Daphnia pulex: one gene and its partners. Each later gene encodes a partner of the first gene's protein in a complex. Links are inferred from orthologs where the notes say so. Each region holds a gene or a part of one and is shown on either strand. Other genes may lie near its edges.

The links. The genes of interacting proteins can lie anywhere in the genome.
Region 2: U4/U6.U5 tri-snRNP-associated protein 1-like (region 1) and U6 snRNA-associated Sm-like protein LSm5 share a complex: the UniProt entries of both Homo sapiens proteins name them as parts of the U4/U6-U5 tri-snRNP complex. The link is inferred for Daphnia pulex from reciprocal best matches to the Homo sapiens genes SART1 and LSM5.
Region 3: U4/U6.U5 tri-snRNP-associated protein 1-like (region 1) and U6 snRNA-associated Sm-like protein LSm8 share a complex: the UniProt entries of both Homo sapiens proteins name them as parts of the U4/U6-U5 tri-snRNP complex. The link is inferred for Daphnia pulex from reciprocal best matches to the Homo sapiens genes SART1 and LSM8.

What each region holds. Positions count from the first base shown.
Region 1 is NC_060026.1:10,447,242-10,451,687, forward strand, and holds the start of U4/U6.U5 tri-snRNP-associated protein 1-like, read left to right. Parts: upstream 1-1,615; 5' UTR 1,616-1,641; intron 1,642-1,742; 5' UTR 1,743-1,944; intron 1,945-2,025; exon of another isoform or gene 2,026-2,048; 5' UTR 2,049-2,061; coding exon 2,062-2,227; intron 2,228-2,282; coding exon 2,283-2,453; intron 2,454-2,510; coding exon 2,511-2,836; intron 2,837-2,900; coding exon 2,901-3,162; intron 3,163-3,220; coding exon 3,221-3,520; intron 3,521-3,585; coding exon 3,586-3,869; intron 3,870-3,942; coding exon 3,943-4,105; intron 4,106-4,179; coding exon 4,180-4,354; intron 4,355-4,419; coding exon 4,420-4,446. UniProt on the Homo sapiens protein: Plays a role in mRNA splicing as a component of the U4/U6-U5 tri-snRNP, one of the building blocks of the spliceosome. May also bind to DNA.
Region 2 is NC_060021.1:7,375,137-7,377,807, reverse strand, and holds U6 snRNA-associated Sm-like protein LSm5, read right to left. Parts: upstream 1,132-2,671; 5' UTR 1,100-1,131; coding exon of another isoform or gene 1,067-1,099; 5' UTR 1,045-1,066; coding exon 1,012-1,044; exon of another isoform or gene 953-1,011; coding exon 755-952; intron 682-754; coding exon 643-681; 3' UTR 613-642; downstream 1-612. Other genes in the region: serine/threonine-protein kinase mos-like, read left to right, coding at 1-158, 234-398, 457-612; peptidyl-prolyl cis-trans isomerase H-like, read left to right, coding at 1,067-1,099. UniProt on the Homo sapiens protein: Plays a role in pre-mRNA splicing as component of the U4/U6-U5 tri-snRNP complex that is involved in spliceosome assembly, and as component of the precatalytic spliceosome (spliceosome B complex).
Region 3 is NC_060019.1:331,213-333,707, forward strand, and holds U6 snRNA-associated Sm-like protein LSm8, read left to right. Parts: upstream 1-1,265; 5' UTR 1,266-1,344; coding exon 1,345-1,375; intron 1,376-1,437; coding exon 1,438-1,478; intron 1,479-1,559; coding exon 1,560-1,687; exon of another isoform or gene 1,688-1,753; coding exon 1,754-1,844; 3' UTR 1,845-1,896; downstream 1,897-2,495. Other genes in the region: alpha-ketoglutarate-dependent dioxygenase alkB homolog 7, mitochondrial-like, read right to left, coding at 1-77, 143-310, 387-671; zinc finger protein 277-like, read right to left, coding at 1,908-1,994, 2,062-2,146, 2,209-2,495. UniProt on the Homo sapiens protein: Plays a role in pre-mRNA splicing as component of the U4/U6-U5 tri-snRNP complex that is involved in spliceosome assembly, and as component of the precatalytic spliceosome (spliceosome B complex).

The sequences.
Region 1 (4,446 bases):
AGACAATTATACTTCTAACAAAATCAAGTTTGTATTAACTGCTTTTATTGCATCAACCAAAATAGTAACACAACAGCTTAATCTACCAATTTTGAGCCATGGCAATCAACACATTTTTTAAGTTATAGCGGAATGTTTGAAATTAGTTGATGAATGTATTCTACGTGGCACACCTTTTGCCAAATCATAGAATCCTCTCACAATAAACCTTCTTCACTAGTAGCCGTCACAAATCCGCGAGTGAACTCATTGATCATTTTCAGTCAAACAGTTTCAACGGGTATGGCGTCCCCGAATTATTTAGGCAAATCAAGAATGACAATGTTACCCTCTGGTTCAGTAACAAATTTCATAGCAGCTTTGCTGCGGTTAACCGGGAACCTATAAACAGTTGATAACAATATTCGGTAACATACACACACAAGAAATTTAATTTGTAATGTGAAAATAAGATTACCAGTCATGTACTACACCAATATGTCTAGTTGATTTCATCTTGCAAAAAGGAAGAATATGTTCTTTGAGGATGTTGTTGTATGTTCTTGAATCGAACTTGCCAGTCACTCTGCACAGAGAAATATTTGGATGGAACGAAGATATACCACCAAAAAACAACACAGTATTACCAGTTTATTTCTCCGAACCAAAATGCAACTCTATCTTGCTGTTTTTGTCGTAACTGGAATTAGGCAACTTCGAACTGGAATTGAGCAATATTCCTAACGATTCAACAAGCGATTCGCCACTCAAAGAGGCCGTTTTTGATTTAGCGGAAATCGTCGCTAGGGGTTCTAAAAATTAACAAATAGATGGGTTTTGTGCAAAATTTTTCGCTAAGTCGATTGCTGAAAACCGCAATCGCCTAGCTTTTGTAATTTGGGAGATTTTTTTAAAAAAACTGAGAGGGGGTAGCCGAAATTTGGAATTTTTTTCGTTTTTTGTGCAGCAGTTTTCTCGTCAACTGCTGCACCTGGAAATATTCGAATTGTTTCATAATGATGGGATAGCCCACCTCTTCAAACAATTTTCATGTTTTTTCGATGCTCGGCTCAGAAGCCGAGATATTAACGATTGAAATTTTTGAAAAAATTTCTAAAAATTTCTTCGTTTTTCGGCCATGCCGGGCTTCATCCTATAAGCCACCTAGCGCTGCGAAAATCGAGAGGGGGTGGTCACCCCAACAGACCCTATATTCAGGGTAAACGTGGTCCGATTTGGAAACTGGAATGAGCGCTCTAGTGAGTGTGTCAGCTACTACGCTTAGCTACTTTTGAGAGCCTAGATGGCTCTGTTTCCAGTTTCTACTTCACAATTCTGACAAGCTCCGCCCTAAAATGTCTGAAAATCGGGGATACGTTTACCCTAAAACCGGGATAGGGAAGCCAACACAGCCGAGAACCGACCAGGCATCTATTGCTCTGGTTCTGCTATCGGCCGCAGTGGTGCGCATCGGCGTAAACTGCGCAGGACTTTTTGTTCGACTACTACTTTTTCATTGGAATAACATCTATAGTCTTTGAGGCGATCAGCCTACCTCACTAGCGAACCTGGTGCGGAATCTTGGAACCCTTAGTATAAACAAAAATCGACAACGACATTGTTCGTTTTGGACTTTTGGTTTTGCCGCACAAGTCTTCACATGTAAAACAAATAGTTAAAAACTATACTGGCCTTAATGTTTTCATTATGTTTTTCCTTTATTGATTTACGGATAAATTTATCTTCTGTTTTCTTTTTTTAAGTTTTATTCAATAGGAGGATTAACACGCCATCTGTTGCGGAATCAATGGATTTGTATTTGTCCCCGCTTTCCAATCCCGCATTTAGCAATTTACCAACACCCAACGGCATCAAAATAAATATTGCAAAAGCTGAAGTCTGCTTCTCAGTTCTCAAGTTCTGAAGTAAAATTGTTGCAAGATCATTAAGTGAATACAGATTCTGGTACCCTACTTTTATTGTTTGATATTTTAAGGAATTCTATTGAAAAAAATTTTATGTTTAAAGAAATCAAAACTTCCCACCTAAGTTAAACTACTTTCTTTCAGTTCTTAAGGAGACATGGACCGAAAAGAAAGTCGCGATCATAATAATTTTCGAAAAAGAAGACATCGTTCCCCATCTAGGTCTCCGTCAAGATCACATTCAAAAAGTTATGCCTCCGTCAAATCCAAACAAATAAAGGAAGATATAAGTCTCAACATTCAGAGCGAAGAACTGTTGACAGGTATGTATTCAAAATTATGTTTATTAGTAACTAGTAACCAATAATTTTTTTTAAGGAAAAGGGAATGATGAAAGACCAGTTGCTAATTCAACCAATGATACTTCCATTTCGATTGAGGAAACCAACAGAATAAGAGCTGAACTTGGTTTGAAGCCATTGGAGATTGGAGGAGAAAATTCAAATGTTGAAGCCAGTACTGAGAAAAAGGATGTTCATGTCCCAGCAGGTAATGATTTCATTTAAATGTCTTTACTTGTACAATTTAAATGTGGTATTTCTCTAGAGAACCTCCGTGAAAAGAAAGCCACAGAAGAGTTGAGACGAAAACTAGATGAAAGACGAGAAAAGAGGCAAATAGAACAAAAGCTTGCACAAGTGCGCACTCTTGCTCATACAACAGCTGATGATGATGACAATGCTGTTAGCTGGGTTGAAAAATCAAGAAGGATTCAGAAAGAAAAGGAAGAAGCTAATAAAAGAGCAAAAATGCTTGAAGAAATGGATGAAGCATTTGGTGTAGGAGATATGGTAACTACTGAACTGATTAAACAAAAAGCAAAAGCATACACAAGTAGAGACTTACGAGGAATAAAAGTAGAACATGACCGGGTAAGTCACCGACAACGTATACTTTTATTTGAATACCTGTGTTGATGTTGCTTTATTTTGTTAGGAAATGATAGCTGAAGGGAAAGAAGTAGTATTGACTCTTAAAGATCAAAACATCTTGCAAGAGGAAGGGGATGTTTTGGTGAATGTCAACCTTGTTGATATAGAACGCTACAAAAAGAACAATGAAATCAAGAAACAGAGACCGGGATATCAGCCCTATGAAGAGGAAGAAGTTGATGAATTGGGCCTTCCCAAACCAAAGCTCTTGCTTGCTAAATATGACACAGAAATAGAAGGAGAAAAACATGATAGCTTTGTCCTAGGTAAAATATTAGATTTGTTTTGTTGATCTTTACAAAAATATTTATGTTAAAATTCTAGGTAAAATTGGAGATGAAGAAGCCAAAATGAAAGCCCAAAAGTTGATGAAAGACAAACTCAAAATGCAACAGAAGAAAATTGAATCACTGGAATCGCGACCGCTCCAAATTGCATCTGAATATTATACAGCAGAAGAAATGGTTTCCTTCAAAAAAGTTAAACGTCGCGTCAAAAAGGTTCGATCCAAAGGCGACGGCATTTTAAAAGCTGACGATCTTATTCAAGAAACGCAAGAAACAACTTCGTCAGACTTGGGATCGAGATCTCGAAAGAAGAGAATGGATGAAGAGGTCACAGAAGGTATTTTAGTTTGACTAGTATATTGTTTTATTATTACTTATTATGTCTTGTTTATCCAACGCCAGATTTAAGCGGATTCAAGATTACTGTAGACGAATCCCAAAAAGAAATACGTCAGGCACTATTAAAAGCTAATAAACTAAAAGAAAGGAAGGCTGATCAGTGGGACATGAACATGATTACGCGGTCATTAAAACGCGAGCCTTTGGAAGAAACGGAAGGTATGGAAGAGGATCCTCTGAAGAGTAGTATCATACTGAATGCCACAGCAGAATTCTGTCGTACTCTTGGTGACATACCAACCTATGGTATGGCAGGCAATCGTGATGAAGACGAAGATGAGTTAATGGTAATTCATTGCATGAATGTTTTTTTTTTTTTGGTTTTGACTTTAATTAATTGCGTTTCTGTTTTGGCAATAGGATTTCGAGCGACAGTTGGCAGAAGAACGCAGAAGAAATCAAGAAAAAGAAGAGCGAAAAAGGGAGGCTGAGCGTCTTCAAGAACGCGGTGGATGGAATGTTCTGGAACGTGAAAACGATCAAGGTTCCGACGACAGCATGGATGTCGATCGTAATGAAAAGGGTATGTATACTGTGTTCTCGTCACTTTTATTGTTGTCAGTGTTTGCATTTTTTTCTTTTCTCTCTGTAAAATAGATAACGCTACTGTTATCCTGGACGAGGAACCTGATGTCGGCTCGGGAATGGCTGCAGCTTTGAAATTGGCTATGAGCAAAGGCTATCTGGAGAAAGAAGAGAAGAAGAGGATAGTTATTTCTAAGTCCGCCCAAGAGCTGCAGGCGCAGCGCTACACCATAGAAGATAAAGCAGCGTACAATTATTTTGTGTTTTGTTTATACGATATTCAGTTATTCTTATTTTATTTTGTTATTTCAGCGAGGACGACAAATATTCAAGAAGAAA
Region 2 (2,671 bases), on another chromosome or scaffold:
ATTCGACACAATTAGCCATGGCTCTTGAATATTGTCATGCAAATGGAGTGCTGCACCTTGATGTGAAACCTGCTAATATTATGGTGAAAAGTGAAAAATGGATTAAATTGGGAGACTTTGGAAATTCTGCAAACATTCATCAGCTTGATTTATTCCAGGTTAGTTTTATCTTGTCATATCTTGATGTGATTGAAAATGGATGTAATTTGTGTTCTATTTAATTTCTGTTTCAGTACCAACAAAGAGTAGGTACAGTTTCTTACTGTTCCCCAGAAATACTTCAAGGGGATGTTCCCTCAACAAAATCTGATGTCTATTCCTATGGTATAACATTATGGCAATTTGAACACAATCAAATACCTTTTTCTGACTTGGACTGGCCCACTGTAGCATACCTGGTATTTCATTTTTAGACTTTTTATGTGATTCATTGTTAAGTTTCTTGTTGGTTATTAGGTTGTTGCCAAGGATGAAAGACCAGTCCTCAATAGTAATTGTAATGAAGAAGAAACAACATTTAGTAAGCTTTATCAAAGCTGTTGGCAACCAAAACCTGAAGACCGCCCAACTATGTCAGAAATTGTAAATATTCTCAAGGATTTGAGTGAATGATGTATTGTCTTTCGAAAATTAAAGAAAAATTCATGAATGAGCTTCTGGTCCCTCTCCACCAGGAACTAACTAAATATCAATCATGAAATGGCTATTAGTTCAAGTAATAAGACAATAAATTATGTTGCTATAGCATCCTTACCATAGTTATGTTGTTTCCATTCAACAGGATCTGGTCTAGCTTAGTCACACGTCTTCCTTCTGGAGTAGATTCAAATTCTGACACATCTTCCAGCACCATGTTGACAAAATCGTCGAACCCTAGCAAAGTTCCCACTATTTCCTTGTCATTCTTCATGATAATGTGGATCCTTGAACCAATGCATTTATCAACCAACTCCTGTATACCACACCAAATTTAGGTGAAGATTTAATTGCATAACTTTAAAAAAGTATTACCAGAGGTAAAAGCGTGGGTACTGGTGCAGCCATTTTATTTAATTAGAGGGAAAAAATGAAATGTCTTCCACGCCAACTTCGAAAATTTGTAAGTTAAGTTTGGTAAAATCTATTGCACTCCGGAGTCCGGAGCGCTCTAGTGTCAAAAGTGGCTATTGCACTCCGGAGTCCGGAGTCCTCTAGCGTCAAAAGTGGCTATTGCACTCCGGAATGGAAATATGTAGTACTTTCATTTGGCGACCGATGGCATTCTGTTTCTGTGTTTTGAAATTTGAATGGTTTAGATTTTTTTTCTTTGGAAATTCAAATAAAATGTATTTATAACAATCATATATATTTGAATATCACTAATAAATAAAAATAGTCAGTGTATAGAAAGAACTTTTATTTCGTTATCGTTAACTTAGCTAGAGTTTAGAGTACAATGTCCAACATTGAATCAGTACCTTAAAATTCAAATTGTAAATATAGTTAAGTGTCTTGCAACAGGAATAAAGTAGAATTTATAAACATTTCAATTCAGGGTGATATTTCTTGTTAACCATTTCAATTTCTCGCTCTATTTGCTCAGTGTAAGGATTTATACACGTTATAAACGCATATAGTGAGTCACCCTTTGTCGCCCCTTACCTGCCTGAAAGTCGAGCCGGAGTTCTCAGAACGGGGCTTCGAGGGGTTCTTTGTGACCTTCAAACGCATTGACCAGCAACTCACTATTTCTGCTGATTTACACGTAACGTGTGATTCAGCTGATTTCACGCTATAAACCATGCAATGCCCGTGTCTCTTATTCCAATAAACTAACAGCTAAACACGTCTTTCATATCTTGAAACAAAACAATACAAAACTAAGTTAACATGCAGATGCAGTTTACTTTATTATAGTGAGAATATCAAAAGACATTTTAACTGAATTGTGAGTGCGAAAAAATACTTGGTATTTTCGTGTTCAGTTTCACTCGGTGCTTTGTCATCACATGAATGAACTGACAATGAAAAAGTAATTGATTTTAAGGGGAAAGAATTAGCACATGGTGCGGCGTCAATCAAAGATCCTTTAAGAGCGGAATATGGAAGCGCCTTGTCCTTTGATGATGGGTTGCTTTAGGTTCCAACGCCGCGGAGATAATCATAAACAAAGTTAACCACTCCTCTTTTTGACTACCAGTATTTTGTAACATCTATCTCCCTTATGTTGTAAAAAGAATATTCCTCGACGATGACGAATGGTTCTGTCACGAATGTAAAAAATAAATACCTTATTATGTAGCCTCATGTATACAAACCCAGGATTGAACTGATTATGTGAAATATATTGTGTTAAATTTGAGTAGAAAGTAAACCTACTGTTTTTGTTTATACACACTCAACTTCTTTCATTATTAAATGATATCGAAGAACATTCTTCTTATGTGATATAAAGTCATGATCAGGTCGTAAACGTAAAGAAATAGCGAAAACCCCTAATCCTGCAAACCTTAAAACTTTTATAGATGAAATAAGTAAAATCTCACTTTTCAAACATGATCCTTTTTTTTTCAAAATGTCAAACACTAATTTCTTGAAGGCATCAGGTTTGTTTTTCATTTGGGGAAATCTCAAAAACTCATCACATGCTGTTGACCTGTTGTACGATATTGTAACAAAGGTGAAACCACAG
Region 3 (2,495 bases), on another chromosome or scaffold:
TGGGGTCGCTGTATATGTATGAGCCTCATCACACTGGCTGTGAGCAGAGATATGCCCGATATGGTGGGGCCACAAAACTATGTTTAGAGAAATATACGAATAGATTAGAATGATAATTTCCAAACGCTGTCATCTATCATACCTTTATGCTGTCCAGATGTGGTTTGATGTGACCATTCTCAGCTAAATCAAGCACATGGACATGCTGCATCGTGGTAGTTGAAAAGGCAAAAGCTCTCAACCGATTTATAACACAGTCATTGACTTGATTCCAAGTAGGTTTCTCTGTTTCCCTGTATCCGTGGATAGCCTTTTGGGTTTCGAATAACAAATGGTGGTCATTCAACAGTCAGACAACCTACGTGAACACGAAATTTCAGACTTACATCATCCCAATGGTCATACTGATACCGGGACCTTTTGAACTTCACCTCCAACTCTTCCAATAGGTTATTCTCTTCTTCAGCACTGATGAAATCTTTGTAGACTTGAAAGTCTTTCTCAAGCATTTGCCTCGTCGCTTCATCGCAGTCGGGAGAGAATTCTAAATTTGGAGAGATCCCGCGGGTCTCTGCGGGAGTTGAGCATGTGCTTCTTGAATGGGAACAAGTAGCACTTAAAGGAATTGCGCGCTTCAAAACTGCACGAATATTGACCAGATAAAGCACCATATCTCGATGCTAAAATATTCAACCATTAAAAGTCGGACATCAAAATATTTCAAATCGGCAATTTTCTGCAAAGAGCAGACGACGTTTGCGTGTGTGTACGTGACATGCCATATTTCGTTTTGATTGCAATCAAATGTAAAAAATGATGTCATTAAAAATGACAGACGGTACTTTATTTAATGGACATGTATATTTAAAATAAATAGATTTAACAAAATTGGGCTGGGGTTAGTCACGCTAATATATTATTTCGTTTAATGTTAATACCTCAAAACCGACCAAATAAAGAATTATACCGCATAATGGAAATGTAGGGCCTATCTGATTTTCAAATTTATTTGATGGCCAAAGAAAACGATTCATCAAAACTCTAGCCTGCTGAGTTCTTCTCCTCACCAACCATTTGATTAACGTCTCGGGAAAATAGCCTCAGGCACCCCTTCTCGATTTCTTTAGTCTTTTTCAAATAACCAATTTCCATACATAAACAAAAATTATATTACTCTATCGAAATCATTAATCACTGAAACATAAGTTTACTACAGTTTGTATGAATTAAATCTGAATAGAATGAATGAAAATACTTTGTTGATATTAAAGTAAAATAAACGGCAACGCTGTATTGCAGACGATTTTTACAAGCCAAATACAAAGTGAAGCGAGTGAAGAAATCATGGCATCAACGTTAGATTCTTACGTTAATCGTGAGTTTTAATTATTATATTGTTTATTATTCACTGAAAAATTGTATCTTTCTTGTTCGCAGGTTCCGTATGTGTTATCACGAGTGATGGGAGGAATTTTATTGTAAGTTGTAACGCCCGATCACAAGGCATCATCCTCACTCAATAAACCGTTTGAAATAATTTCAATGTATTCTTTTTACAGGGTATTCTTAAAGGATTCGATCAGACTATCAACCTTATCATTGACGACAGTCATGAGAGAGTGTTTAGTTCTACCCAGGGAGTTGAACAAGTCCAACTGGGACTGCACATCATCAGAGGAGACAATGTGTATGTTTCATCCACTTATTAGCTGTAAAATAACTCAATCATAACTATTTCTTGTTGTAATTTCAGAGTTTTAATTGGGGAAATTGATAATGAACTTGATTCCAGACTCAATTTATCAGAAATAAGAGCAGAACCACTAGCTCAAATCCACCATTAAAGTTTGCATTATTCCATCATGATCACTTGAAATACAATCTTTTTTACAGCTTTGTAGAATCATTCATTTTTTTACAATTAGCTCTAGTTTAAGCAGTTCTTCTTCAACTACTTTAAGGTTTATGATGGTGTCTTCAGGGATCACTGTTACCTAATTAAATGAAAAATCATGAAAACAAGTTTTTACATTAATAAAAATCAGACTTAATATAATTTACTTGGTCGGTTTCAGTAGAATCATCTGGAATGGTATCTTCTAGCAAACAAAGAAGAGCATCATTTTCATAGGTTGGAAAGTAGTACCTAAAAGTTTATCCAATAAAATAGGATCCACAAATAGAAAATTTTGAATGTATCCGGCTTACTGTGACTGATCCCAAACTGCCCGATCGGGAAGTTTAAAGTGACTGAAGTTTTGCATGTGCTCTCTCAGTTTATCCCGGGATTCAAACTGCTCATCGCAAAGTATGCATTTCTTTTCATGCACTTGTCTCCTGACGTAGTTGACAATCTTAATTTGCTGATAGATACTAAAGCTCTTTTTCAGGCCCAGAAAATCAAAGTTACTGTGAGATGCAATATGTTGGGATAAAACATCTGGTGCACTTGATTGAAAATCACAGAATAAGCAAATAGCTTCAGTCTCTGGCTC